3 linked regions of the Caenorhabditis elegans genome follow. The protein of the gene in region 2 purifies or fractionates together with the protein of the main gene of each other region. This does not show direct contact. Each region holds a gene or a part of one and is shown on either strand. Other genes may lie near its edges.

Region 1 (6,884 bases), on a different chromosome or scaffold from region 2:
CAAATCTTATGTTTATAAAAAATAAGTAATCAAGCTATTAAAAATTAAGCTATATATATAGCCCAATAGGGTACTGCTAAGCAACGTTTTCGTGAGTCATTAAAGTGTAGTTTCAAATTTTTCCGAGTTAACAATACAATAAAAAAAAGTTTCTATAGTTTGTGTGCTTGTTCACATGTTTCAGGCCACTGCTCAGTGGATGCTTACTCCAAAAACCCTGTGTTCTATATTGTCAGTTTGTCTGGGTCTACAGTAATACGTTTCAAAATTTAAACTAAATATCAAAACTATTATTTTAAAAAGATTCAATAAAACTAACGTTAAAATAACAATTCTAGATGAAAAACTGATTCACAAAAGCAAATTAAATTTTATATTAAATTTGAGACTCACGTCTTCATTTTGGGGAAAGTTATATTTAGAATGATTAAGTCCAGTGTGTCGTTACCATTTTATACTTACTCGCCACACTCCCAAATTCCATCAGTGGCTCCTACAAATCACCAAAAAACTAAAAATAGTTTGTTCTACACCTCTCTCCTCACATTCCATCTTCACACAAAGTAGTAGATCAAAGAAGCGCGAAATACTGAAAATCTGCAAATTTCTATCTTTTCACTTTTTCTGTCATTTTCTTGTCAACAACATGTTCTTGGGACTCCCGAAATACGCATGTACATCCTTGCTTTGTTTGCTATTTTTCAGAAACACAAAATGACTTACAAACAAAAAATGTAGTGTTTACCCGTGGTCTTTATCGTGGTTTCTTGTGGAATTGTATATTACTAATAAGATTGGAAACATGGGTTGACCATAAATTGATCACAGTTATTATTGATTCATATGACTTAGAAGGTATCCAAGGTTCAGAGATTGACTAAAATAATGTTTGCTAGATCCCTGTAGAAGTTTATCACATAAAAGTCACTAAACTCTTTATAATTTTGGTTCAAACCGTGAAAATGATCATTTTTGGCATAACAACGTTAGACCAGTTGAAAATGATTTTCCAGCCGTTTATTTACATGAAAAGTCGTCGAATTTTTCGTGCTCAAAGCTCAAAGTTTTCTGTTAAAAATTATTTAGTAATTATTAACTTCGAGCTTACTAGAAATTTGACCCATTGTTTAGATTCAGATGAGTCAGTTTTACAGATTTGTAATTTGATAATGTTATTACTATAGCCATTTAGCATCTTGCACTTTTAATTAAATATCAATCTAAGGTATCAATCTTGAGCCTTGATCATTATCACCATTATCAAATTGAACCGTTTTAGCTTGCCGCCAACTGCCATTCTCAATGAAGTCCTTTTGAAAGTCAACAAACTCAGAGTCTTGCTCTCTTTGCTTTCTCACTATTTCTTTTGATTGGGCTCTTTTCTCTTGACCTCGAGTTTACTCAGTAACTTTGTGGTTGGCATGGATGGAATAAAAGAAAAACATACAATCGTGGAGTTTTTTCGCAGTTTTTTTCGGAATGCAACTGATGATGACAGTATTGGGTTAGACACACCCATTGAAATAAGGTATAAAAATGATCAAACGAAAAATCTTCACCATTTCTGCTCACTTCAATCGAACGAAATGAACACGTAAGTTTTCTAGCAAACGATTTATGTTATCATTAGGTAGGATGTGCATCATTCATTCGTAAATTTTCAGCCTCCTTGCTCTTTGCTCACTTCTTGCTGTGGCTTCTGCCCAATACTTGTATTATCCAACAAGTTATTACACACCATACTATTACTATTATCCAACCGCTGCAGTTGCTGGTACCACTGGAGTTGCTCAGCAAACTCAGGCTGGTGGAGCTTCCCAACAAGCTTATGCTCAACAGCAACCACAACAAAACCAACAGTATGCTCAAGGAACCCAACAACAACAACAACAGTATTATCCACAACAAACGCAACAGGGTCAGCAACAACAAACTCTTCAATACCAACAAGGAGTTCAACAGCAACCAGTACAGTATGATCAATCAGGAAATACCCAACAGGTTCAATATGATCAATCATCCCAAATGCAGCAACAACCACAACAACAACAGCAATACACGCCTCAATATGATCAATCTGGAAATACTCAAAATCATCAGCAAGGAACTCAACAGACTGGAGCTGTGGCTGCTCAGCCACCTTACTACTATTATACATCTCCATACTATTATTATGCTTATGGAAGAAAATAGAAGAGTATTACGGAACTTGCCCAGCCCATCGTTGTTTCATATTATGATTTCATTCCTCACACTGCCTTTATGCGAACGAAAATAATTGAAAAAAAAAACAATAAATGATTCGAAATTTATGCGAAATGTTGTGTAAGAAAATATTTTTGAAAAAGCAGATTAATACCTGAAAATATTTCCAATTAAAGCAGTGGAATTGTCTTCGTGCCTACCTCGTGCCTGCCTACATCTCAACTGCTGGCTTATTTGTTTACCACATGCCAGACCAATCAGTTTGCACGAAATATTATTTTTGAACTATTAATAAGATACATTTGTTATATCTGTACAGCCTGACACTTTTTTAGAGCGATTATTTGGAGAGTATTCAACACCATCATATTTTGATACCTGAGTTTCAGCCAGCTTAACAGTTTTTTCATTAAAACCGAACACAAATTCAACGGCCCACTAGTTACTCATAACCTAAACATTGGCAGGTGTTCTCTTACATAATCTGTTATAAACAAATGGATCGTCTCAATTTCCAATCAGGTATCAATGACATAAACAAATTATTCACCCTCCACCGTGCAACTCCATTAATTTCATTTCATTTTCGCAACAAATGATACCTAACTTACAGTTATTTCTTTCATTAATACTATTCGGCTTATTAAATCATGTATCTTCAATTGACTATGAAGAAATACACATCGAAGATTCATATGAAACAAGGTAACGAATCCTTTAATTTTTTTTCAAAATTACGTCCGAAAACATTTCAGATCACGTATTCTAATGGTTGATGGAAATGTGTGGTTGCATGCCGGAAAGGATAAAAATATAACGTTCAAAACGACTGGAAATGGAAGAATATATGTGGACGAAACAGATGTTTCCAAACTTCCAGATATTGTAGGTAGACTGCTGAAATTATCCAAAAAAAAAATGAACGAGCTTCTACAAAACATTTATTTTTGATACGTTGCTTTGCTTAACACACAGATTTCTTATTTAGTAGAGGCTTATGCCGATGGTTTCTTGGCAGCTTCCACTTCAATAAATTTGATGAGATCAGCTCGTTCGTCAGCTTTCTTCAAACCAGCGAAGACCATCTGAAAATTTCTTATTAATACTCCATCGCACTTCCTAGAAAATCCTACCTTAGTTCCGGGGATGTACTTTTTCGGATCAGCCAAATAGTCGAAAAGTGTTTGTCTGTCCCATACAACTCCTTTATTCTTGTTGGCAGCCGAGTAGTCAAATCCAGCAACTTGTCCGGATTGTCTTCCAATCACTCCGTTCAATGTTGGTCCAGTCTTTGTTTGCAATGAGTTGACAACGTGACATTGCTCGCAACGTTGTTTGAAGATCTGAAAATCAATAGGTTTTCTGGGAACACTATAATGAAAAATTTAACTAACCTTCTTTCCTTTCTCATTGTCTCCTTCTGGAATAGCTCCACCGGATGCCGTATCAGACTTCTTCTTGCCCATGTTTCAAGAACTGATTAAAACATAGACGGTCAGATTAGAAAAAGGAACGAAACGTGGATTACGAGTAAGAGTTGGAATTAGATAGTCGGAGATCACGCAAAAATTTACTTTTTGACAACTATTTAAAAAGAATCACTTTCCTGAGAAACGGTCACGTAAATTTTGATAATTAAGTTCTATTATTTTTATAAAACTTTTCAAAATGAATAATTGTTTGAAAATGTTTGAACTATGGAAGTTTTTGAAAATTAACTCGAATTACAATTTTCAATATTCAAAATAATTTTCAGGCATCTTTCAAGCAACTTGTTGGACGTATTGAGAACACTTCTCAAATGTTCACCACTTTGAAAAGTCGCCAGGACACGCAGACTTCTGCAATGAGAGTGGTTTTAAATTCTGCAAAACATTATCTAGTAGCGGTAATTCCATACATTTTTTTCTCTTTTTGAAATCAATTTTTAGCTTCGAAATATGACACTCGAAGTGAATATCTTGAAGAAGTGGAAAACTGATAAAATGGCCAGAGACATGAGGAGACGGGGATTATTGGTGAAAATGACACGTCAAATCATGTAAGACACAACAAGTTAGGTTTGACTATTTTTTATAAATTGTTAACTTTCAAGAGGAATCAACAAATTGATAGCAATAAACGCGTGCGATCCGAACAAATGTAGTAATGGAGGCACATGTATCCCATCTTTTGGCGCCAAATTCACTTGTCTTTGTCCTCCACATTTCACCGGTACAACTTGTGAAGCTGACATCGATGAATGCTCAGTATACAATGGTACAACTGCTGGATGTCAGAACAATGGAACATGTATCAATAACCGTGGCGGATTTGAATGTCAGTGCCAATCCGGATATCATGGATCTCTTTGTCAGTATCATATGTCCGCTTGCTCGAAAACTTTTGAATTGTGTGGTCCACATGGGCATTGTATTGAGAGTATTGTGGATCCAACTGGTCAGTCATCTTCCGATACAACTACGTACAAGTGTATTTGTGATTGGGGTTTCAAGGTTTCAAGTGATAAGAACAATCCAACGTGTGTTGATGTCAATGAATGCGAATCAAATCCATGTCATCCAGGAGTTGATTGTATTAATTTGCCTGGATCGTTTGTGTGTTCCGGATGTCCAAAAGGATATAAAAGTAAGTTAGAATTATATATGTTCAATCAAATCAAAAATAAAATAATTTTTTTGGTTTAATTCTTGTCTAGAAAATATATACTCGTATCCAAAACGTTTTCATAAAATAGGTAAGTAGGCATTTAAATAGGTCAATAGGTGTGTGGTAGGCATGAGGTAGACACGTACGCCTGAACAAGTGCCTACCCTGTATAACACTTACAAATTTCAAGCTTTTTTTGTGAAAATACTTGTTTGGATTTCTCAGTTCCGAGAATGAGGAGAGAAAGTCTTATAAACTTCGGCTTAACAATGTGAAAAATCAGAATTTGTTAGTTTGAAGGTGTCGAAAAATGTACTGAATATCTGTCATTGAAATCCAAAAAGTAAAATAAATTCAGCCGATGGAAATGTTTGTATTGATGTCAACGAATGTGAAGGTGAAATTCGTGTATGCTCTCCGCTTTCAAAATGTCATAACACTCTTGGCAGTTATTATTGTGATTCGTGTCCGACTGGATACTCCGGCGATGGAGGAAATTGTGTGAAAGATGATAGTTGTGTCAAAAACAAATGCCATAAATTAGCAACATGCAAGGTAACTGACGACGGATACAGTGCTGTTGGAGACTACACTTGCTACTGTCCAGATGGATATGTTGGTGACGGAATTGGAGAGGAAGGATGTGTTAAGTCAGCAAGTAACGTTTGCCAGAACCACAATTGTGTTAATGCTGGGAAATGCAAGGTAACACAAATGAAGACAAGTAAGCACTGTTACTCAAAAAATAGTTTTCAGCCAACAAGCGACACCGAATATAAATGTGAATGTGAAGCTGGTTTTCTTGGAAAGTTCTGTGAGAAAACATCACCGTGCCAAACGAATCCTTGCAAAAATGGAGGAACTTGTATTGCCGTTGAAAATTCTGCTTATTGCGACTGTCCAGAGCACTTCTTTGGTAGGGCATGCGAAGAAGAGGAAGAACGTAAGAAAATTCATTAATAAAATTTTTATTGCTTGTTTTCTGTACAAGGAGCGGCCCAGCTTTAGCCTTGGGCAAACTTAGTATAGACTTTTGAACATATTTTGGATCTAACTGCTGGTAGGTTTCACAGGCAGAGTTGTTAAAAAAGTGGACTCACCATGCCACGCTCTTCAGTCAAGATTCTACAGTATCAGAAGTTAGATCCAAAGCCTGTACCAAAGTCTTACCGATACCGCCACTGCCTGCTCAAAACTTGACTGGTTTCTCTGCTCCTTACAAATAAGAGTAACAGTTAGCCACCGAAGGTTGTTCTGGGACTGCGCAGTCACTGTCAAGTAGACATCAGCAGAGACTGAAACCTCAAAAACAAAACTCATTTTGTAGACTGTGGCTCTCACTTCACTCATTCGAGCGGAAATTATACATTCGACCTACAACGATCGAATAAAACGGAACTGTCCATATGTGATTTCGTCTTCAATATTCCTGCTGCAAACTCTGCAGTTGTAATGACTTTCACAGAATTTGATAAATTTACGCAAGAAGGATCAGGACCTACAGATTGTGCCAAAACTGATGCGAATTTGACATTATACGATGGACCAGAAGACAGTTCTTCTGAGTTTGCAACATTCTGTGGAGATTCACACAGTGTTCACGCACCGCTGAGTGACACTCCAATCACAATGACTTCAACAGGAGCAATGCTGAGATTTAGAGGAACCCAAGGTTCTTTTACTATCAAATGGGAAACCGTTGAAAGAAGTTAGTGGAATTTTTATATAATTCAATTGGAAGTATATTATTTGCAGAATGCGGGTACCGTAGCTCAAAACCAGAAGGAATAATCTCCGTCCCACAAAACCACCAAGACATTGTCTGTGAATGGTTTATTTCGGCTCCCGGTGGGAAAATAATCGAAGTCACTATTCCTCCAGTTTCAATGCATTCAAAAGACATTGAAAAATGCGATCAAAACTCTTTGGAAATATACGATGGTTATGCTACATATGATAAACATCGTATTCTTGAAACATGTTCATCTACTCTTGAATCCCAAGTCGTTAGAACTACTGGACCATTCCTC
Region 2 (11,439 bases):
CTCTTCGAATTATACAAACAGACGAGAAAAATGAGCAATAGCACGTTTAATCATCAAAAGAAGGTTCTAATCGACACCACAGTTCAGATTAGGGCTCCACTATCATGTAAGACAATTTCAGATTCTCATCTCACAGATTCATGGCAACATGGGCGTTTTGGGTAGTTATTTCTTATTTTCTAGACCCGTCGACTGATACAAGAGGTTTGTTTTATAATATTTCAGTAGTTTTTTTGTAACTTCACATGGTGCCAGGCTGTCCTTTTCTGGTTTGATCTACAAAAAGTGCGGGAATTTTTGCTCAAAACAATGTGCCGTCCGCACGTTCTTAACCATGCAAAATCAGTTGAGAACTCTGCCACATTTTTTGTAGATCAACGTAGATCATGCCGAAATGAGACACTCTGACACCACATGTAACTTCCGAATTTATTTTTTTTGACTTCCAGCAATCTCCACATTCATAAATTCCTTATTTGTGGCGGCACCCATTCCTGGAACTGTTGCCATGATTATTCAAAACGCCAGCTATCGAAATTTCATCGCGGAGAAGGTTTTTCGGCGGAAATCATCTGACGTGTCGCCAAGCCGATATGTTCTACCGTGGAAGACAGATTGTAAAACTCGAATTTAAATCGAGTTATTGAATGAATTTTGGATTGAATATTAATAAATGATTTTTGTAAGCGTGTAATATAATTCTATTATGGGAACACAAAATTCTGATAATGCGTACTGAGCAACATATTTGACGCGCAAAATATCTCGTAGCGTCTTTGTAGTCTGCAAAGTTTTGGATATTGACTTGGAGTTAGTAAGGGGATATGGTCGAGGTACTGTAGTAGTTCTGTAGAGTTACCGTAGGGGTACTGTAGGAGTACGGTAGAATTATTGTAGTTTAAGAAAAAGTGAGTTTTTGTCTTTTGAAGGGACATTGACTTGGAGTGAGTTGGAGGATATGGTCGGGGTGCTGTAGTAGTACTGTAGGATTACTGTACTTTAAGAAAAAATGAGTTTTTGTCTTTTGGCGTATCTTGAAACTTCTAGAACTTTCTACAAAAATCTGGAATTTTCTAGAACTCTCTAGAAAATTCCGGGAAGTTCTACCCTTTTCTAGAAAAATAAGGAATCTTCTAGAATTTCTAAAAAGTCTAGAAACCTCTAGAACTTTCCAGAAAAGTCTGGAAACGTCTAAAATTTGTAGAAAAGTTTTGAAACTTTTAGAAATCTTTAGAATCGTGGCGATACCCATTAATTTTTTGGCGGGAAATTCGAATTTTTTGAGAAAACGCTCCTCAAATGGAGCTCACAGCACTGCCAGAGGTCACGTAGGATCACTGTAATAATAATTGGTAGTCATACTCCTAGGGGAATACTGAAAGCGGTACAACGGCAGCGACATACGGAGCAGGGCTGGGAATTTTTTGGTTTTTTTGGTATTTAATCGATTTTTTGGTTTTTTTTTGGTTTTTCAAAAACTTCAATTTTTTGTTTTTTGTTTTTTGGTCCAAATTTTTTTTTTGGTCCCAGCCCTGATGTAGATCACAAAATATTATCTCATATTTCGTATTTCTGTTGCTTTTTTACAAATTAATTGTGATCTACGCGTGATCTCCGCGAATTTTGAACAGACTTTGTTAAAAATGATGACTAAATGCGCGGCAAGACCCTTCCGCATAAATGCGCCCCCCCCCCTTTAAAGTCGTAGAAGTGGAAAAACAAATGCACTGTACGCATTATCTGAATTATGTGATCCCGTGATAAAATTGATTTTTTGGCCTTTTTAAATACATTTCTAGAAAATAGTTTTCCAGTAGAGTTTGTGGAATAGAAAAATAAAATAAAAAATCGATGAAAGTTTTATTGACTTTTTCCAAATTTTATCCCAAAAATATGTTTTCTGTTTTTTTTTGTTGTTGAAAAATTAATAAATCCAAAAACAAAAATACAAAAAAAAGAAACAATTAAAATCGTTGAAGCCGAATTCCTTGAGCAGGCTTCGACACGAACAACGACGGCAACTCGGCAACCACCCGATCCACGTCATCAGCGGCCATCAACACGACGGCACATCCTCCCCAACCGGCTCCGGTAAGCCGTGCTCCGAGAGCTCCATGGTCCAAATAGAGCCGACAAATCTCGTCAAGCTCCCGACAACTGCACTCGTAGTCAATGGCACAACTGCGATGACTCTCGTTCATTAGACGTCCCATTTCTTGAATGTTTTTCTGGGCGCACGCCGATTCGAATTGTTCCACACGATAGGCCTCACTGAACACGTGACGAGCGCGGGGGCGGAGTTTGAATTTTTGGACTGAAAAAAAATTATATTTTGGGTCTTGTTTCGATTTTTCACATCCTAATGTTCTTTTGTTTAATTTCTGAAAAAAATTCGAAAAATGCTTTTTTTTTCAGATTAAAAAAACATTAAAAAAATATATAAAAATTTAACAATTTTCTCACGGGGTTCTGGCCATCCTTATTTAACTTTTCGCGCTCTATTGACAATCGCCTGCCGGACAACGCCTGTGAAAGTCGTCAACTAAAATCGAGCCGTGACGCGACACGCAACGCACCGTAAATCTACCCCAGATACGACCGAGCCAAAATGGCCTAGTTTGGCAAAAACTCTTCCATTTCAATTTATGAGGGAAGCCAGAAATCCATTTTAAAAAATTCGAAACAATTTTTTCGGAGTTTCGGAGTTCGAATATTTTTTTTAATATGAATTTTTTCTGAATTTTACGGAATTCAAATAATAAAAGAAATTTTTTTTTTTTAAATTTTTCAAATAACTCAAAAAAATGGTTTTTTTTTGTTTTTTTGGAAACCAAAAAATTCGAAAAAGAAACATTTCTGAATTTTTTAAATCTTTTTTTGAAAAAATCTGATTAAAAGAAAATTTCGGAAATCAAAAAATTTGAAAACAAAATTAGAATTGTTAAAATATCAGTGGCCGATGTCTCGCTTTTTCTAGGCCACGCTCTATTTTTTTTTGAAAATTCTCAAATTTCTGTACACGGATTTCTAGCTTCCCTCATAAATTGAAATGGAAGAGTTTCTGCCGAACTAGGCCATTTTTGATCGACCATATCTGGGGTAGATTTACGGCGCGTTGCGTGTCGCGTCGCGGCTCGGTTTTAGTTGTAAAACTAATTGTGATTGTCCGTGTGGAGTACACGACTTTCCCACGCGTTGTCCGGCAGGAGATTGTCAATGGAGCGCGAAAAATCTCTATTTTTTTCTGCTAAAACACTGTGCTTACATGATCTTGTATTCTCTGTAAGACATTCTTCCAATTTATCGGCACCAATTAGATCAATAACTTGCTCTTTATTGACTTCATCCGGTAGCTCCTCGACAATTTTCAAAATTTCCTTGAACGATTTTCCGCTTAAGGTTTGAATTTCTTTGAGGCGAAATGAGCCACTTGTGATATTGAATTTTTGTTTGAAAATCTGAAAAAATTTGTTTTTTTTTTCAGATCAGAAACAATTTGAAAACCGGTTTTTCCAAAAAAAAAATTGGTGGCCGAGTTTTTCAACATGGGCGTTTTGGGTAGTTATTTCTTATTTTCTAGACCCGTCGACTGATACAAGAGGTTTGTTTTATAATATTTCAGTAGTTTTTTTGTAACTTCACATGGTGCCAGGCTGTCCCTTTCTGGTTTGATCTACAAAAAATGCGGGAATTTTTTGTCCAAAAAATGAAACGTCAGCACGTTCTTAACCATGCGAAATCAGTTTAGAACTCTGCCGCATTTCTTGTAGATCAACGTAGATCAAGCCGAAATGAGACTGAGACACAAATGAGACGAAATGAGACCACGTCGACGTTGAGAAAAGTTTCCGATTTTTAGAAAATTCGGAAAAAAAAAGTTTTTTGCAACGAAAAAAATTTTTGAACTAAAAAAATCCTAAATTTATCGATTTTTCGCTTAATTTTTCTGATTTTTATTGATTTTTTGCATGACCGCCGTACTTGTGCAACAATCCGTCCTTCAATAACCCTTTCGTTATAATGTGACGTGGCACCCTTATTCAGTTCAGTATTCGAATGAACCACGACGAAAACCGCATCACTCGGAAGTTGAATGTTTTTTGAGCGAAGCGGATTAAAATCGATACGAAGAGCCGTTCCTTCGGATGCGAGAACTTCGGCGGCTTGATCCATTCCACCGCTTAGTGTTCCGATTAGTGGCTCACTTTCGATACATAAATGAGCAAAGTCTTTTCTGGAAAAAAAATATTTTTATGGAAAAAGGGCCCACGATGTTATTGAAATTATTTTCACGCGATTCTTATAATATGGCGCCAGGCCGTTCGGTTTGATCTGCAAAAAATGCGGGAATTTTATGCCTAAAAAATGTGACGTCAGCACGTTCTTAATCATGCGAAATCAGTTGAGAACTCTGCGTCTCTTCTCCCGCATTTTTTGTAGATCTACGTAGATCAAATCGAAATGAAGCACTGACACCACGTGCCTCATAAATTGAAATGGAAGAGTTTTTGCCGAACTAGGCTATTTTAGCTCGGCCATATTTGGTGGTAGATTTACGGCGCGTTGCCGCGTCGCGGCTCGATTTTAGTTGTAAAACTAAATGTATTTGTCCGTGTGGAGTACACGACTTTCCCAGTCCGGCGGGCGATTGTCAATGGAGCGCAAAAATGCAATGAGGAATGTCAGAACCCCGTGAAAAAAATTTTCAATTTTTTGATTTATTTTGCGTTCCGAAATCTACATGGAAGAAAAATTCAAACTTCGAGTTTCAATGCAAAATATTATGTTTTTTGCGTACTTTGCGTACATTGCGCAACATATTTGACGCGCAAAATATCTCGTAGCGAAAACTACAGTAACCCTTTGAAGGACTACTGTAGTGTTCGTGTCGATTTACGGGCTGGATTTTTAAAAGCATTTAGAATATTAAAATTGAGCAAAAAATGAGAAAATAATACGAAGAAACGACGGAAAATTGAAAATCACTGTCGATTTTCGTAAAGAAGTTCTAAAACATTTCGAAAATCGAGAGCTCCGTAAATCAACCTTTAGTAGTCATTTAAAGGGTTACTGTAGTTTTCGCTTCGAGATATTTTTCGCGTCAAATATGTTGCTTAATACGCATTCTCAGAATTTTGGATTCCCGTAATATCACGTCCCGGCAAGTGGTACATCCATACAAATGCGCTCTACTGATAATTTGAGTTAAGCCAGGTTTGGGCGCGTTTTAAGGAAAAAAGCTTTGGTCCAAAAAATTTAGAATTTTTTTTCGAACATTTTTCATGTGCACAAAAAAAACAAAAAACAAAAAAACTGGATCATCCGATTTTGAGGAAAACGCGCCCAAACGTCCAGGTATACGGTAGACACACGGGGTTCTGGCCATTGAATTTTTCGCGCTCCATTGACAATCGCCTGCCGGACAACGCGTGGAAAAGTGTCGTGTACTCCACACGGACAAATAAATCAGTTCTACAAATAAAAACGTGCCGCGACGCGACACGCAACGCGCCTTAAATCTACACAAAATCTCTCCGACCCAAAATGGCCTAGTTTGGCAAACTCTGCCATTTCGAAAAGTGAGTTTTTTTTTGGTCCCAAAATTCTGAAAAATTTTGTCAAAATTCAAAAAAAAAAACTCTACAAACCTAGAAATATGCTCAAAAGGATCATTATCCACAATCAACGACAACGTGGCCAGCGCCGACGCACAAACCAACGAAGAACTGGACGAAAGACCAGAAGATGGAGGAATAGTTCCGTATAATAAGAAGCTCATTCCGAATTGTTCTTGTCCATCTTCTCTATTCATAATTCCCCTCCATCCACACAGCAAATAATCGAACCATTTTGGTGAAGTACATCCTTTCCATGGGCATGGAATTGGTGAGCTCCATGATTCGTATTTTGAGTCGAAATTCGAAAAAACTATCGAATTCGTGTCGTTTTTTGCGGCCAGAATTGTGGTCGCCGCGTCGATGGCCATTGGGAAGACACCATAGTCATGGTAATCGATATGCTCGCCTGGAAATGTTACGGTAGCTGCACATGGTGTCAAAACTCTCATTTCTGCTTGATCTACGTTGATCTACAAAAAATGCGGGAGAAGAGAAGCAAAGTTCTCAACTGATTTCGCATAGTGAAGAACGTGCTGACGTCACCTGTTTTTGGGAAAAAAATTCCCGCTTTTTTTTGTAGATCAAACCGTAATGGGACAGCCTGGCACCACGTGTAGCTGATAAAATTTCATTCGTGCCAAGACCTAAGGCAGCAGTTTTGCAACTAAACTTTCATTTTTCAAAATAAAAAAGTGTCATTTTTCTCTCAATTGTTTCAAGTTCCTATGATTTTTGCAAGTCTGTGGTCAGTTAACCATGACGATCTATGTAGGCTCGTGTACTCCCCGAGGAGAAGATTTAATTTTTTGTATTACATGAACACAAAATTCTGAGAATGCGTATTGCACAACATATTTGACGCGCAAAATATCTCGCAACGAAAACTACTCTTTAAATGACTACTGTAGCGCTCTTGTGTCGATTTACGGGCTCAGGTGAATATAAATAATTTATTTATCGATAGAGTACTGAAAATCGGTTAAAAATGACCAATGAGCCGCTAAATCGACACAAACGCTACAGTAGTAATTTAAAGACTTACTGTAGTTTTCGCTACGAGATATTTTGCGCGTCAAATATGTTGTGCAATATGCATTCTCAGAATTTTGTGTTCCCGTAATAGTCAAAATTTCAAATTTCAAATTATCTTTTATTTTATAAAATACAATTTTAGGTGTTTGAGGAGAAAATCTATAATTTCAACGTGTCCCTGATACCTGAACCCTGATAGGAAAAAAACCCGGGACTTTTAACACTTTTTGGGTCCTGGCACGATTGAAACTTCAAAATTTTGAGCTACCGTAACCGCGGAAATATTTCGAAATGCTTTTTATTATTTTTAATACATTTTTTATACAGTAAAGCAAAATTTCCAGAGAAACATATATTTCTGCGAAAGTTTCGATCGTGGCAAGACCAATAACAACGTACCAATCAAATTAACACGGCCCGGACACGTGACACGAACTTCTGGCTCAATACCATACAATTTGACGAATTGCTCGGCGAGCTGCTCATTTGAGACCATTTTTAACGAATTTCTGAAACTATATAATAGGAAATTGGAAGTTGTAGAAAAGACAATAGGGGCACCACCACCTATAACAAACAAAATAATATTTATATGACTGTCTGCGTCTCTAACATGTTGACCATACTCTGTGTTGCCCGCCGCCACGTGTTGCGTGCATGGTGTACTGGGAATCTGATAGATAAGGGATTCGATGATGTTCAGTACGGTCTGCGCCTTTGAGGATTACTGTAGTTCACACATTTTCTTATTTTCGAGAAAAATCTATTCAAATAAATACCAAAATTTTTGGACAAACCAAATTTAAAATATCAAAACCCATGTTTTTTTTAAACAAGTGAGCAACGAAAATTTTCGAATTACAGTAATCTTTAAAGGCGCACATATATTTTCGCATTTAATGAAAATGTGTCGCTTCGAGACCGGCTTCAGCATTTTTTGAAGCAGAATTTCTCATCTCGGTAATATGCCTCTTTCTTGACGTTTTCCTAAATTTTTGTCGACAAATTCGACAAATCGGCAATTTGCCGATTTGCCGGAAATTTTCATTTTTGGCAAATTGCCGTTTGCCGGATATCAGATTTGCCGGAAATGTTTAGAGGAATTTTTACAAGACGGAAACACTTAAAACTGTGTCATTTTGAATTTTTTCCCGTTTTTTAAAGGATATTTTCATAAAATTTGCTTAATTTTCAAAATAGATGTAGGAAAATTCATAGGATGCGTTTAATTTTGCCATTTGAAATTAAAATTCCAAAATTTCCAAAAAATAATAAAAACAAAATCACAATTTGCCGAAAATTTTCGGAAAATTGTTGTTTTTCCGGCTACTTGCGGGTTTGCCGGAAACTTAAAATTCCGGCAATTTGCCGATTTGCCGGAAAAAAATCGTTTACCGCCCACCCCTGAACTACAGTACTCCTTAAAGGCGCACACTGGTTTGCAAAAAGATAATCTAGACTGGGTCCCGTCACGGCTCAGAGTTTTTTCCAGAATTTTCAAAGCGAAATTACAAGTTTGTGTTAGTAGCTTCCATCGCGACGAGACCCAGAATATTCCACAATAGGTCTCACCACGAAGCAAAATAGTTATTAATTGCCGGCGTGGCGAGACCCACAGAAACACGTGTTGTCAGGCTGTCCCATTACGGTTTGATCTACAAAAAATGCGGGAATTTTTTGCCAAAACACTCTGCAAAGAACTCTGCGTCTCAACTCCCGCATTTTTGTAGATCTACGTAGATCAAACCGAAATGAGAAAAAGCTTTATTCAAAGTTTTTTGTTTTGATTTTAATTGCAAAAAAGAAAAGAAATTCTTCAACAATAAAATGATTCATTGGCGACTGTCTCTGTGTTGGTTATTAGAAAAAAATAAATCGTTCGATTGGTGGTTTGGATGGCGGAGCAGGGAAAAATAGTTAGACGGGGTCGGTTATTGCCATTCCCAGATTGGCTCGAGCACAACTGGTCCAGAGCTGCCGCTGCTTCGCTTTCCGAACTGGAGAGGCCGATAGTCGCGTTTTCCGAACTGCAATGGACGGTACCCATCTCGCTTGCCGAACTGCAATTTATGTGTGTATAATATTTTTAACTTTTTTTAAAATGTCTTGTTCCCTACCTGAAGTGGCCGGTAATCGCGATCCTGACGGTCAAACGTCGGCGACTGTGTTGCAAAAACTGTAAAAAAAACGGAAGTAATTTTTAGAAAAAAAATTGGCCTAAAAATTGGCCTAAAAATAGTATTAAAACGACGAACCCTCCACGAATACGAGGATGAGCATGAGCAGGGCGCAGCTGTGGTGGCGGAGCATTTTGTCGGAGGCAATTGAAATAAGTTTCGCCGAGTCGAGGTGTCGGGCTTTTATACCACCCCCCCCCCCATCAGTAAACTACAGATTCGTCATATTTCCCAACGGAGCCGGGGGGACCACGCCTTTCCCCCCTACCATTTTGGTTAGCTTCTGGAGTTGATGGGCTCGTAAAAACTGAGAGAGAGATTCATAGCGTTTATCCAAATGAAGTGATGAAAATGGGGTGAAAGGATTTAAAGAAAAAGAGTGATGGGGGAGGGAGAGGGGTAAAAATAGCGATTTCAACAGTCAAAGAAAAAAATAGAAATTTAAAAAATAATTTAAATAGTATCCTCCGGATTCGTCTCGGCCACGAGCTTCAACTGCTCGGCGTTCTCGATCAAGAAGTAGGCGAAGACGGCGATGAAGACGAAGAGAATTGTGAATGTGATCTGGAAAATAGAAAATAAGTTTTTATTGCCAGAAAAAGGGCGAAAAACTCACCGTGCTTCCCAAGAATCCTCCTTTGTTGCTCTGAGCTTGACGAGCCGATGCCCGATCGGCGGCCATTTCCTCTTCCGTCAAGTATCGCATCGACTCCTCGCAATCGTCGCTGTCCGATTCGGGAGAGGTAGTAGCTGCCGCTGTTGCAGCTGACACGTTCTGGAAAACTCGTTGTGGCGGTGATTTCTTCGGTGACGAGCTGATGATCAATGAATCCTCGTTGAATTGAGAGTCGTTGAGATTTGATTGATCTGGAAATTAGAGGTTCGAAAACTTTAAAAATGTTATTTAGAAATTAATAAATAATTTAAATTCAAATCCTCACTGTTAATGCTTCCGTCTGATAACTTGATAAGCTTCTTCTCGTAGAGCTTGCGGGTCGTCGCCACAATTGGCCCAACAGAAACCCCGTGGCTTTTAAGGCTATCGCGTAGTTCGGCATCTGTCAGCTGGGAGACGTCCATTTTTTGTGAGATGGTCTGGAAAAAGCAAAAAATGACAATTTTCAAGCAAAAATTGAGGAAAACGAGCGATTTTCTACCTAAAATCTTGAGAAAATCGTTTATTTATTGAACATTTTACCAAAAAAATTAAAAATGCCCATTTTTTGTGAGATGGTCTGGAAAAGGCAAAAAAATGACAATTTTCGAGCAAAAATTGAGGAAGGGCGATTTTCTACTTAAAAAATGGTTTATTCATTGATTTTTCACCGAAAAAATGAAAAATTCTACAAAAAACTGATTAAAAACAGGAGAAAATGAAAAATTATGAAAAAATAATTTCAAACCCAAGTCAAATTGGCTGAGAGACAACGCGACGGCGAGAGACGCAGAGTGGACGGGTCTCGTCACGATATCGCTTTGTGTCGATTTACGGAGGAATTTCCAGCCCGCAGATTTAAATCAATGATTTTCGCGCGCGCTTTTTTTCCTGAATCATGATTCGAATCATACATAAATAAAATACGGAAAACGAGGTTTTTTTAATAAAGTTTCAACCATTTCTTTTTGTCCACAAAACATTTACATAAAATTAGATCAATGTTAATAGAAATAAATATGAAATTAAAAACTATCGCAAAAAGTCGATACAATAATGGGGAAGAAGAAGGGGGGATGGTGTGTGGATGGGGGATGGTTTTTTTTTCGGTTGAGAAGAAGAAGAAGGAAAAATGACAAAAAAAAATCGATGAAAAATGGAAAAAAATAGGGTGGGGGGGAGGATTTCGAGGTTAGCTTGATGGGAAAAAAATATGAAAAACGGGATTTTTAGGGTAAGGGTGAAGTTTGGGGAGGGGAGTGGAGAAAGCATTCGATAATTTTCGAAAAAAATATGGTGAAAACTCAAAAAAAACGTTATAATATTTGAATTATGTGGATGTGGGTGGGAGAAATTGAAGTTGAGGAGGAAAAAAAAACTATGTCCAACACGAAAAATGTGTTTTTTTTGTGGTTAGAATTGTTAGAAAGGTAAAAAAAATAAAAATTTGAATCAAGACAAAAAAAAACGAAAGAAGCGGCGGTTTGTTGTGGGGATTTTTGTGAGAAAAAAAAAGACAAAAAAAAAAATTTTTTTTGTGAATGACAGAGAGACTAGGTGGTGTTTTTGCATGCCGGAAACTAGGTTGATGGGTAGGGAAGGATGTGAAAACCGACTTTTTGTGATGATAAATGAGTATAGACAGGACAGAAAGAGAGAGAGAGAGAGAGAGAGAGAAGTTTTGTTTCTTTTTGCATTAGCTATATCAGAAAGCACATCCAAAAAAAGAAGAAAAAAGTGCTTATATGGAAAGAATATTCGGGAGGAGCATTTGTTTTAGGGAGGAAAATGAGAAAATAAGAAAATAAGGAAGAGATGGAGAGAGAGACAGACAGAGAGAGAAAGTTTTTTGCAAAAAAAAAACAAAAATTAGAAGGAGTACAAGAAAATGTTTCCTAGGTTTAGGTGGTGGTGTCTCACTCGACCCAGTGAGAGAGAGAGAGAGAGAGAGATGGAT
Region 3 (11,697 bases), 8.8 Mb from region 2:
TTGGAAATGTGGTTCTATATGAGTGTTGAGCTGGTTAAGGGATGTCTTCCGTGGGCTCATTTGAAGGTAAGACTTGTTGAGTAGAATATGGCTCCAAATGCAATCGAAGAATGTCTCTGAAAGTAACTTTGCATCAAAGAACGGCATCACTATACCCTTGGGCTTTTACGGGAGGCAGGCGGTTTCAGGCTTTGGCACATGACTGCCTGCCTGACGCCTGCCTGGAAATCCTCCTTTGCATATAACTTTGCACGGCGAAGTAGGTGTAAATGCATTTTTGACATATATCAAAGCCCTTCTCTATGTATCCTTTTCCAGAAACCAAAAGAAGTGCATGACTATCAAAAGTTGTGCCGAAATGGTCTTCAAATGCGTGAAATGCTCGGAGGTCTTCCACCAGAATTCGTCGACATTATGCAAATAGTAGGCAACTCCTTTGCAACTTTTCCCCTAACAATCCATTCTTTTTCAGGTTGACAAACTTTCATTCACCGACACTCCGAACTACACAGAAATCTACGGACTTCTCACCAACGCGATTCTCTTCAGTGGCAAAAATGTATGTCTTTCACACAATAAAAGTGTTATCATTTATCATAATTACAGGAATTCCCGTACGATTGGGAGGAGGCTGAGATCAACGAGTTCAAGAATCCGCAGAAGCCAAGTGTGGAGCAGGCAACCTAATAGCTCTCTTTCTATGGAAATAAATTGACTTTTTTGAATATTCAAAGTGTTTTTATATCTTATAACGTTATTCCATAAACTCCCAGTACAATACATCTACAGAACTAGAGAAAAGAGAGTTCAAAGATCAGAGATCAAACTACATATGAACAGAACGAAACTGCATTTTATATGTAGTTACATTGTAGTAAACGATATAATTTCATTTCAAAAGATGAGTTATCATATATTTAGGAATGACCCTTTTGTAGATCCCCTCCATCCCTGATACGGTAGCCTTAAAGTTTCGATCTTTTCGAGACCAGAGAACATTTTAGTGTGAGCGATTAAAATTTCACGAATACAAATAGAAATGTTCATTTTAATCTTTAAAATCACGAAATTGAAAGCAAGAAGACTATTAACCGGAATGCAGATAGAAAATGTACAGAAAATTCAAAGAATGTCGGCCAATTATGCATTTTCCTCTTCTTTCTTTTCCTGACTTGCACCTTCTTGTTTATTCGTAGCACCTTTCATTTGAACCGAAAATCCTCCATTTCCATTCGGGACCATCTCAAAACTGTCTGTCGAGAGCCCAAACGGCGATAGACAGAAATTTCCGAAACCCTTCAGTTTTTCCATCACATCGGCTTTCATCGCCTCATTTCGATTATTAATTTTCTCATTGATTTCAGCGATTTTCCGATCAAGTTCGACGCGGCGTTTTGGAAGAGATTCCTGGAAAAAGTTTACTTCTAATTTCAAAAAGAAATCTACCAAAATCGATACCTGTAACTGTTTATAATCTTCAATAGAATTCTCATACTTTTCTGACATATTCGAGTATGCAAACGCCCGTCGTTCCAGTGCTTTCTCGTTGGTTGCTCCAATCTGAAAATTGATTTTATTTGTTTCAAGCTAACTAGCTAATAGTAAGTCGCAAAATTTTGCTATCTAAGGGTCTCAACACGAAAACCGTTTGTTAAATGCAAAAGGACGCCTTTTGAGGATTACTGTAGTTTCCAACTATAGGAGCCGGGTTTTCGATTTATGAGAAATTAGTTTTCCGACATTTCGATTTTTTTTTAATTTTTTGAAAAATATCTTAAAATTTTGCCAATTTTTCCTCTTGTAGAAGATAATTATGTGTTTCCTGATGTTTTTTTCGTAAAAGTAAACAAAATTTGATAAAGAAAAGGATTTTTTTGTCAATTTTCAAAACCCTTTTCTTTTTGATTTTCAGGAAAAATGAAAATCGAAATTTTTGTTGGAAATTTCAGAAATACTTAAAGCTGCAAACTTTTATTCATTTTAACGCCAAATTTTAGTGACAAGGCCGTATTTTGTGGTCGAAATTGGGAAAATTTCGCGTCTGTGTAATATTTCATGCTCTCTTCAGTACCTCAATTGATTTCGACGCAGCTTCCACAGCAGATTCCCATTTTCTTAACTTGATAAGTGCAGCTGCTGAATTTGAAAGAAGAATCGATTGTACTTCTGTGGATGTTGGAGGGCACGAGGCAATGGCTTCCTGGAAAAATTTCAATTGTATACTGTCGAAATAGACCGATCAAGCCGTTAATTTTGCAAGTCTGCGGCGCGTTGTATGCATGTAGATTTACGAAGAATTTTGTACTACACTCGGACAAGTGGGGATTTTTTTTGAGATGATTGTGTAGTTTTCAGCTAAAATTCTTGTTTGTAATTTTTCGATATTTTTAAAAATCAAAATTTTTGTTTTTCAAATTATTGTTTTCTTTACTATAAAATTATATGAAAATTGAATTAATACTTGTCCACGTGTAGTACAAAATCCTGCGTAAATCGACAAGCTTCAAACCGCGCCGCACGTTTGCAAAACATTCCAATACCTGATATTTTTCATTCGCCTTTTCGAATTCTCCATTCGCAAAGAAATTATTTCCTTCTTTTTTCAATGAATCCACTTTTGTTATCTGATCCTCTTCATCCTCGAAAATTTCTTCGATAATTGCCATTTCTAAAGCTGAAAATAATGGTTTTTAAATAAAGAGAATATTATTTAGAATTTAAATGAAAAATATTTGAAAAGATCAAACAACTTGAGATTATTAAAATTAAAAAAAAAACAAAAATAAAAGTAGGAAAATGTTTATAGCCTGAACTTTTTTCTTTTCAAAACGTTTTTAAAATAACAAAACAAGAAAAAATGGATTAGGTGAATCAACAAAATCTATCTGAAAGGTATTAACTGGGGGTGAAAGAAAGGGACACGTATTATTGGAAGAGATGCTCGTAGAGCTCATCATAATGCGAAACGAATCGAATATCCAACTCTGATTTCATGAATTCTGGTAAATCATCAAAGTCTCGACGATTCTCATTTGGAAGGAAGACTCGTTTTGCTCCGACACGGCGAGCCTGAAAAAAAATGAAATTTTTGAACGAAAAAAGAACAGAGGACCCACCGCGATCACTTTTTCCCGAATTCCACCAACTGGCAGCACTTTTCCGGTTAATGAAATTTCACCAGTCATCGCCATGTCCTGCACAACAGGTCGGTCTAAAGCGAGTGAAAGAAGACTTGAGACAAGAGTTACTCCTGCAGATGGTCCGTCTTTTGGTGTTGCTCCCTAGAAAAATGGAATTGGTTAGTTGAAATTATTTCAAGATTAAGCTCACTTCGGGTACATGAATATGAATATGTGCTTTATCGAAGAATTTGTTATCGGGTTGCTCTCTTGCAAGAATTCCTTTTGCAACAGTCAACGCTGTTCGAACACTTTCTTTCATTACATCTCCTAAATTTCCAGTTGTTTCAATACTTCCATCCTTATCATTTGTCAAATCAACAGGTCGTTTCAATACAGTTTCAATATAAAGTGCAGATCCACCCATTGCTGTCCATGCGAGACCCATTATCACCTGAACGGAACGTGAATTAAGTTTTTAAAACAGTTTTTTCGCTTACTCCAGGCGGTGTTACTTCATACATTCGATCTGATGTGAATTTGGGTCTTCCAACGAACTTTTGCAAGTTTTCTGTGCAAACTACAATTTGTTCGGCTGAAGATTTTAAACAATCTGCAGATGATGTAGAGGTGATTGGTTCGGCTTCTGAGTTTTCAGTGATAGCAGTTGTTGCTTTTTCGGCTGGCTCCTCATCCTCGTTTTGTTGTTCAGCAATTTGAAGAGCTGCTTTACGGAAAATCTGGAAAAAAAAGGTAATTTCTATAAGCAATCTAAATATAATTGTCGAAACAGAACAATCAACTCGAGGCGCGGATCTGAGACCCGAAGAACTCGGGGGATGTCCAATTGGGGGATTACCAACTCGGGGGATTGGCCCCGCCCACAGAACCGTGGCTTGCAATACGCCCATTTCTGCAACTGCCGCACGGTTTAAAAATTATTTTTTCTTGTTAATTCTCGCTCTATTGAGAAAAATACAGTTTTAAAACCGTGCGGCAGTTGCAGAAATGGGCGTATTGCAAGCCACGGTTATGTGGGCGGGGCCAATCCCCCGAGTTGGTAATCCCCCCAATTGGACATCCCCCGAGTTCTTCGGGTCTCGCGGATCGTCCTGTTTTTACCAAAACATACTCTTTCAATATGTTGCTGTAAATTTCTGACTCCAGATTCACGACAGTAATGCTTAATGAGCTCTTCCAACGCAGAATCTTCAATTTTCAGTTGTTCTGTGGCGAGAGATGTGTCTTTTCTGAGTTGAGGAATGAGATGTTGATGAGCAATTTCAACTTTTTCCTCGGCTAAATAACCGCTAACATCAATCATTTCCATTCGATCACGAAGTGGTCCCGGGATTTTTGAAATCTCGTTTGCCGTGCAAATGAACAAAACTCTGAAAATTAGAAATAAAATTATAGAACCAAGAGGAGAAGCATCTTCAAACCTAGACAAATCAACTGGAACATCCAAGAAATGATCATTAAAATTCGCATTTTGTTCTGGATCAAGAAGTTCCAAAAGTGCCGATGCGGGATCTCCATGGAATCCAGCTCCGCCGATTTTGTCGACTTCATCGATAAGAACAAGAGGATTCTCAGTTTTCACTTTCTTCATGCATTGAATCATTTTTCCAGGCATTGCACCGACATATGTACGACGATGTCCCTTGATTTCTGCCACATCAGTCATTCCACCAACTGAGAAACGGAAATACTGCAAATGTTAGATTTAATTTTAACAAGAGAAAGTTTAGGAAAAAAAACTGAACCTCTCGATTCAAGGCAGTCGCAATTGATTTCGCAATAGAAGTTTTTCCAACTCCAGGTGGTCCATGGAAGCATAGAATCTTTCCACCAATTGATTTTCGAAGTAAATTGACTGCAATAAACTCCATAATTCGTTCTTTAACATCTTTCATTCCATAATGTCCTTCATCAAGAGCTTTCTTTGCAACTGAAAGACGACGATTCTCGGGTGATGTAAGTCCCCAGGGTACTGATGTCAACCATTCCAGGTAGTTTCTGAAAAAAAACGGAACTCAATTTTTTTTTTGCTTTAAAACATTTAAAATAGTCTGACATTCAGGAAAAAATGCACTTAAAAATGATATTTTTCAGTTTTGAATTTCTTTCAAAACGAGAACTGTAAGACCAATCGGCGAACCAATCAAAAGGAGTGGGCGGAGTTCCTGGTCGTCGATCCTGTAGTTCTCATTTTGAAGAAAATTAAAATAAATAGATTAACCAAAAGTGAATAATAGAAATTTAGAAAGTTGGAGTTTTCGTTTAATTTTAAACAATTTTTTGGGGTTTTAATAAAAAAGTTTAAAATTTCTGAACTATTATTTTTTTTTATATTCCGGAAAATTGAAATTTTTTTAAATTGAAATGTCGAATTGTCAACTTTTCGATAAAAAAAAACATTTCAATTTTTCACGACATCCAGGAGCTGGTTTCTGAACACTTCATAAACAATCCGGAAGCTTTTGGAGAAATTTTGATTTTTGGAAAAAGAATTCGAAAAAAAATTCGATTGGAAAATTGGAAAAAAGTTTACTTTTCCGAGCATTTTTAGCCTTTTAAATGCATATATATATTTTTCTATAAAACTAATATAATTTTCAATATCTACCTCGTGACACTAAATTCACTGGAATGCGGATCCAAAAACTGCAACTTTGTCTTTTCTTCGTTAATAACTTTCAATGCATATTCTGGAACTGCCAATGTTTTGATTCTTTCATCAATTTTCTCAATAATAGTCGTCTTCTCATCCTTTTCAATTCCCAACTCCTTTTTGATTACTTTCAATTGCTCATTGAGCAAGTATTTCCTATGATGATCCTGAACCTTCTTCTCAACATCTTTATTGATATCATACTTCAATTTGGCAACTGCTTTCTCCTTTTGAATCAGAAGAAGAGCAATTTTGAGTCGCTTTGAAACCTAAAAAAATAATATAATTATTTTCATTTAAAAAAATTTAAATTTAAATTTACATCAATTTCATCCATCATTTCCTGAAGATCTTTTGTTTCTGCAGATTGTACAAGAGTTGCAACAAGATCACATAGATAAACTGGATTATCGATTACATTTTGAGATGGATGAAGTAGAAGATTGATTTGTTGACCGAAGAGTTGATTGAATTGTACTACATCTCTGAAATAATATTTGAATTTAGGAAATTGGAAACTCATAAAATCAAAAAATAACTTTCGGAATCAAGGTTTTTTTCAATTTGCAGGGGAAAAAATGCAAATTTTCTATATTTTTTTCTCGAAATATACACAGTTTTTGTTGAATTTATAGTTTTATCCTTTTTTCAATAATTTTACTACAATCTTTTTCGTTTTTTTTTTCGATTTTACTTTTGGCCATTGTAAAATACATAACATTTTGCAGATTATTTCCGTATTTTCGATTCAAAATGATTAATATACATTTTATTGTACCCGGTCGCATTTCTCCTGTTATTCAAAAAAGTGTGCGCCTTTAAAGATTACTTTAATTTCAAACTATTGTTTTTTTCGGAATTTTCGTCGATTTCTCATAGCTTTTCACACAATACACACAAGTTTTTTATAAATGTAATGACACAGATTTTATTTTCGAACTTTGCGATTTTTTTTTAATCTTATGTATATAATTTTCAACGAGAATTTATGATAATCGATGAAAATTTCCGAGCAACGAATATTTGAAGTTACAGTACTCTTCAAAGGGATATATCCTTTTTAGATTACAATAAGTTTGTCGTGTCGAGACCGGGTATCGTAATATTGAGGTACAAATGGCTAAATAATCGCAACTTGATATTACCGAATCGTCTGCACAATGGCCATCATCGTAGCCTTCGTTTCATTATTCTTGGGCACTGGCTCTGCAACAACATTCTCGGTTCGAACCATAATAATTCCTTTTTTCTGTTTTTCTCCAGTTGCTGATGGTGGTGTTGTCTTCTCTTCTTTCTCTTCTGTTGCTGAAATTTCTGGAGCCACTGAAGCCACTGAAGGTGCAAGTGGAGGTGGTGATGGTGGTGGAGTGAGTGGTGATGTTGCTGATGCTGCACGCTTTCCACGAGCACGTCTTCCATTCAATGGAGTCTCATTTTTCGGTGTAATTTCGTCAATTGGTTCAAGAGCACGAATTCTTCGATGAGCACTGAGTACCAGCTCAAGAACACTTCCCTGATCACGGACTTCGATAATTTGAACGAAAGAACCAGTTGGGTAGACTTCTGATAGAGATGTGATCGTTTCTTCTTTGTTTCTGGAAAAAAATATACTAATTTGCGCGGGAATTCAAAAATAATTCAGCAATTTTAATCCATTTTTTGTTGCAAAATTGAAAAAAATACAAAACAATTTTGAAAAAGTGTATAAATTTTTTAGAAGTTATAGTCGGTATATAGAAGATTGATTTTTTTCTGTTATTTGATGATTCCAATAACAAAAATGGTTCCAAATCAAAAATATCAGGCAAAAACTGTAAAAGCATTTCCTCGGGGAGTACACGAGCTCCGTATATCAACACATGACTAGTTTTTCGGCGATTGTTCCATTTTTAAGTCAAGAAGAGATCCATTCAAAAACTACATACTCATCGTCTCTCTTCACAAAAACTCCAGCATACGGCTGTTTCAGTGAAAGCTGTCGCCTGATCAGTGCTTTTAAATTGTCATCTTTCACGATCTGAAATTTTAATTTTCAGTTTTCCGCCAAATACGTTATCTAATCTCACATCAACTTTCTTGATAAATCCTGGAAATAGTGGATATCGATTGATAGCTAACATTGGGACATTTGGCATATCGGCTGGCACTTGAATCGGTGACATTCCTCCCTGAAAATCAATTAAAATCGTCTTTTAATGACTGAAATTCTAAAAAACTTACCAAATCTTTGTACAGTTCCAATGAGTCATCCACAGCGATTGGATCGTCATGAGTGGAATAAAACCTCCTTTCTCCTGAATTTCCTGCTAATTCCATAGATTTCATCATTAAAATCGATTGATTTCTTTGAGAAAATGTGGCAAAGCTTTGATGTGCTGAAGCAGCGGCAAGAAGCCGCGTGCGAGTTGCCCCGCGGAGTAAAACCGCTCCAGCGCGGTACATTTCTGTTGAACGGGGAGTAGGATAGGAGGATTCAAGACTTCAGAATAAAAAAGTAAAATGTGTCGCATTAAAACGTCAATAAAATATTAAAATCGTTGTAGATTGAAAATGAATTTATTATGGTTCAGAAGATGATTCTTATATCACACAGAAAAATGAAGAAGAGCTCATAAATAATTTAATTTAAAATAAATATTTGACCAGATCCCGAGTAAAACGTTTTTCTTTAGTTTTTGCATCATTGCCGATTTATTTCGTCTTCTTTGTCTCCTTTTTCTTGTCTCCAGATTCTTGTGGTTCCGCAGGTGTGTGCCACTGAAAATTAAAACATTTTATACGATTTCTGTAACTTTTTCTCACCACAATCGGGTTCTTTCTGAAGAGGAATGGCCATGGTGGAAGAATGATGAGAGCTGTGAACGCAGATGCTCCCAGCACTGTGAACATGGCATATGAAAGCTGTTGAGTCCAGAATCCAACGAGGAAGCCAATAATTCCAGCAATAGTGAGGATTACCTAAATTTTATTGCTTTATTTTATGTAATTTCAGTCAATCAATTGTGGTTTGTTACCTGGTAAGTTCTCTCGGCGACTTTCTGTCCTTGAAAATCAATATGCGACGATAGTTTCTGCAGTGGAGCAGGGAGCATTGCAATCATTCCGTCCATGGTTAATTATGTAATAATTAAAAATCAAATTCAGTTATAAAAATACAAAAAGATTAAAGCAAAACGAATTCGGAATAATTTTGTTCCAACACTCCTTCATACAATGACGTAAAATAGAGATTTTCCATGGAGCGCACTTGCACATTTCATATTTTGAAGAACATTTGCAAATATTTGTGGATTGAAAACCAGAAATAAATCTTAAATAAGCTTAAATTGATATATTATTAAATTCAATAAACTTTATTCTAATCAGGAAACAAATAAATTTCACACAAAAGAAAAAAACATACAGCTCGAACACAATTATGTGAACAAAGAAGAACAAAACAACGAATTAATACGATCGGACCTTTGGTGGAACCCAGTCGGTTTCAGATTTATCGAGAGTTTTGTCGATAACTGGGCGGTATGTCAAATCAACAGCTCCAGTTTTCGTATCGATACCGATGATGGAATGCTTGCGCCAGTGCTGATCAAACGGTTTTTTCTGCTGTCCCTCAAGTGGATTGCTGTAGTCATATTCGTCAATTCTTTCTTGGAAATCATCACGAGCGTGGGCTCCACGAGATTCAGTGCGATTTTCGGCGGCGACGATGGTTTGATTGGCGTTGATAAGCAAATTCTGAAGCTCGAGAGTTTCGACAAGCTCCGAATTCCATACTTTTCCAGAGTCGGCACACGCCTTCAAATTTTGTTGCTCTTTGTAGATGGAGGACATTTTATCGACTCCTTCCTGAAAATATCCAATATTTTTTGAAAATAGAATAAATCTGTATTTACTTACCTTCAAAAGATCGCCCCGTCTGAAAACAGCAGCATGTTTCTGCATTGTCATTTGCATCTTTTGTCTTAATTCGATAGATGAAATATCTCCTTTTGAGTGCAAAAGTCCGTTCAAATTGTCACACGATTTCTCTTCACAATTTACCGGAAGCTCCGGGATTGAATCTCCTGGTTTGTTCTCATTAAGGATACTGAAATCTTTAGTTTAAACCTGTTCAGATAAATGAAACTAACGTGAGAGCGCAAGATCTTCCAAAGATAACCAAATCTAGAAGGGAATTTGCTCCGAGACGATTTGCTCCATGAACTGAATGTGCTGCACATTCACCAGCGGCATAGAGTCCTGGAATCACTTTATCTCCTCCTTCAGGTGTGAAATCGAGAACTTGTCCCTTGTAATTCGTAGGAACTCCTCCCATGTTGTAGTGAACAGTTGGAATGACTGGAATCGGCTCTTTGGTTACATCCACACCAGCAAAGATTTGAGCGGTTTCCGAGATTCCTGAAAGAAAATTATTAACAATTGAAAACACTAATATCACGTACCTGGCAATCGTTGTTGAAGCTGTTCAGCTGGAAGATGATGCAATTGAAGGTAAATATGATCTTTGTTTGGTCCGACTCCTCTTCCTTCATTAATTTCCATAGTCATGGCTCTTGAAACAACATCTCTTGACGCTAAATCCTTGGCATTCGGTGCATATCTTTCCATAAATCGTTCTCCTTGCGAATTGACCAAATATCCACCCTCTCCTCGTGATCCTTCGGTGATCAAACATCCAACTCCGTAGATTCCAGTTGGATGGAATTGAACAAACTCCATATCAGAATTACGAATACCTGCACGAGCGGTAAGAGCGGTTCCATCACCAGTACAAGTGTGAGCAGATGTACACGAGAAGTAAGCTCTTCCATAGCCTCCGGTGGCGAGGACAGTGTTCTTTGCGCGGAAACGATGAATCTGTCCAGTTTCAATGTCCAGTGCAACGACGCCAATGCATTTTCCCTTATCCATAATCAAATCCAAAGCGAAATACTCGACAAAATAATTACAGTCGTATTGAAGAGATGCACCGTAGAGGGTATGAAGAAGTGAGTGTCCAGTTCTATCGGCCACACAGCAAGTACGGTGAGCCTGTCCTCCACGACCGAAATCATTAGATTGACCTCCAAAAGCCCGTTGATAAATTTTTCCGTCTGTTGTACGCGAGAAAGGCATTCCTGCAAGAAAATTGTTGTTTTTTAATGTTAGAGAATCTTATTGACCGTAATTTTCAAGTTCAATAATAGCTCTTTCGGCTTCTCGAGTCATATAGTGAATCGCGTCTTGATCTCCAAGCCAATCGGACCCTTTTACAGTGTCGTAGAAGTGCCAGCGCCAGTTATCTGGATTCATATTTCCCAAAGCGGCGTTCACACCTAAAAATCAAAATTTAAATTCTGTTCGTATACTTTGAGCGGCTCACCTCCTTGAGCCGCGACTGTGTGCGATCTTGTGGGGAAAAGCTTCGTAATGACGGCAGTTTTCATTCCACCTTCGGAGAGTCCCATCGCAGCTCTCAAACCGGCTCCTCCTGCTCCCACAACAACCGCGTCAAAAGTGTGATCAACGACATCAAAATTGGTGGTTGCGCTCACTTGTTTTCTTTGAAAATTGATAAAATTAGTGAAATGGCGTTAGAAAATAAATTATCTCACTTCATATAAGTGCGAACAGGTGTTTTCGCACGGTTTATCGACTTTACGACATTAAGCATCTTGCTGAAAATACAGGAAAAATATAGAACGTTCAGAAAAACAAATAAAAATCCGATAACGGTTGAGGTGAAACCAAAAATGAGTTGGCCGCGCGAACGATACACCGTAGTTCACACTTTCGGTGCGAGACCCACCGCTCAATTTTTGTTCCTGCGCCTTTAAGTTTGAAACAACTACGGTACATTTTTCTCTATTTATTTACATGAAATTTCTGAAAAGAAACGTTTCATTTGAAATTTTATCGTAAATT

What was found.
Region 1: the proteins of tag-96 (region 2) and cyc-2.2 fractionate together in Caenorhabditis elegans (co-fractionation; one large-scale study listed by BioGRID). This does not show direct contact.
Region 3: the proteins of tag-96 (region 2) and lonp-1 fractionate together in Caenorhabditis elegans (co-fractionation; one large-scale study listed by BioGRID). This does not show direct contact.

The regions. Positions count from the first base shown.
Region 1 is NC_003283.11:12,608,547-12,615,430, forward strand, and holds cyc-2.2 (putative cytochrome c 2.2), read right to left. Parts: upstream 3,673-6,884; 5' UTR 3,672-3,672; coding exon 3,600-3,671; intron 3,549-3,599; coding exon 3,339-3,548; intron 3,291-3,338; coding exon 3,201-3,290; 3' UTR 3,136-3,200; downstream 1-3,135. Other genes in the region: ZC116.5 (Conserved secreted protein), read right to left, coding at 394-401; ZC116.1 (Prion-like-(Q/N-rich)-domain-bearing protein), read left to right, coding at 1,422-1,594, 1,665-2,193; cubn-1 (Cubilin homolog), read left to right, coding at 2,801-2,910, 2,961-3,090, 3,962-4,093, 4,137-4,246, 4,301-4,833, 5,213-5,559, 5,611-5,797, 6,182-6,562 and 1 more. UniProt on the Caenorhabditis elegans protein: Electron carrier protein. The oxidized form of the cytochrome c heme group can accept an electron from the heme group of the cytochrome c1 subunit of cytochrome reductase.
Region 2 is NC_003279.8:1,840,928-1,852,366, reverse strand, and holds tag-96 (Galactokinase), read right to left. Parts: upstream 7,168-11,439; 5' UTR 7,147-7,167; coding exon 7,050-7,146; intron 6,025-7,049; coding exon 5,649-6,024; intron 4,235-5,648; coding exon 3,982-4,234; intron 3,459-3,981; coding exon 3,266-3,458; intron 2,315-3,265; coding exon 1,965-2,314; 3' UTR 1,844-1,964; downstream 1-1,843. Other genes in the region: M01D7.9 (7TM_GPCR_Srx domain-containing protein), read left to right, coding at 141-204, 450-634; nlp-12 (Neuropeptide-Like Protein), read right to left, coding at 8,582-8,710, 8,768-8,826, 8,906-8,960; emr-1 (Emerin homolog 1), read right to left, coding at 9,281-9,391, 9,444-9,694, 9,769-9,907.
Region 3 is NC_003279.8:10,674,138-10,685,834, forward strand, and holds lonp-1 (Lon protease homolog, mitochondrial), read right to left. Parts: upstream 8,238-11,697; 5' UTR 8,236-8,237; coding exon 8,014-8,235; intron 7,962-8,013; coding exon 7,860-7,961; intron 7,811-7,859; coding exon 7,719-7,810; intron 7,389-7,718; coding exon 6,939-7,388; intron 6,279-6,938; coding exon 6,116-6,278; intron 6,063-6,115; coding exon 5,749-6,062; intron 5,139-5,748; coding exon 4,886-5,138; intron 4,831-4,885; coding exon 4,562-4,830; intron 4,511-4,561; coding exon 4,252-4,510; intron 3,860-4,251; coding exon 3,620-3,859; intron 3,574-3,619; coding exon 3,331-3,573; intron 3,282-3,330; coding exon 3,117-3,281; intron 3,070-3,116; coding exon 2,926-3,069; 3' UTR 2,785-2,925; downstream 1-2,784. Other genes in the region: C34B2.3 (Protein kinase domain-containing protein), read left to right, coding at 1-66, 319-423, 473-559, 607-687; ttc-1 (TPR_REGION domain-containing protein), read right to left, coding at 1,141-1,407, 1,459-1,560, 2,072-2,200, 2,541-2,666; spcs-1 (Signal peptidase complex subunit 1), read right to left, coding at 8,485-8,550, 8,596-8,751, 8,808-8,903; sdha-2 (Succinate dehydrogenase [ubiquinone] flavoprotein subunit, mitochondrial), read right to left, coding at 9,241-9,639, 9,691-9,880, 9,924-10,191, 10,236-10,910, 10,956-11,108, 11,156-11,334, 11,388-11,446. UniProt on the Caenorhabditis elegans protein: ATP-dependent serine protease that mediates the selective degradation of misfolded, unassembled or oxidatively damaged polypeptides as well as certain short-lived regulatory proteins in the mitochondrial matrix.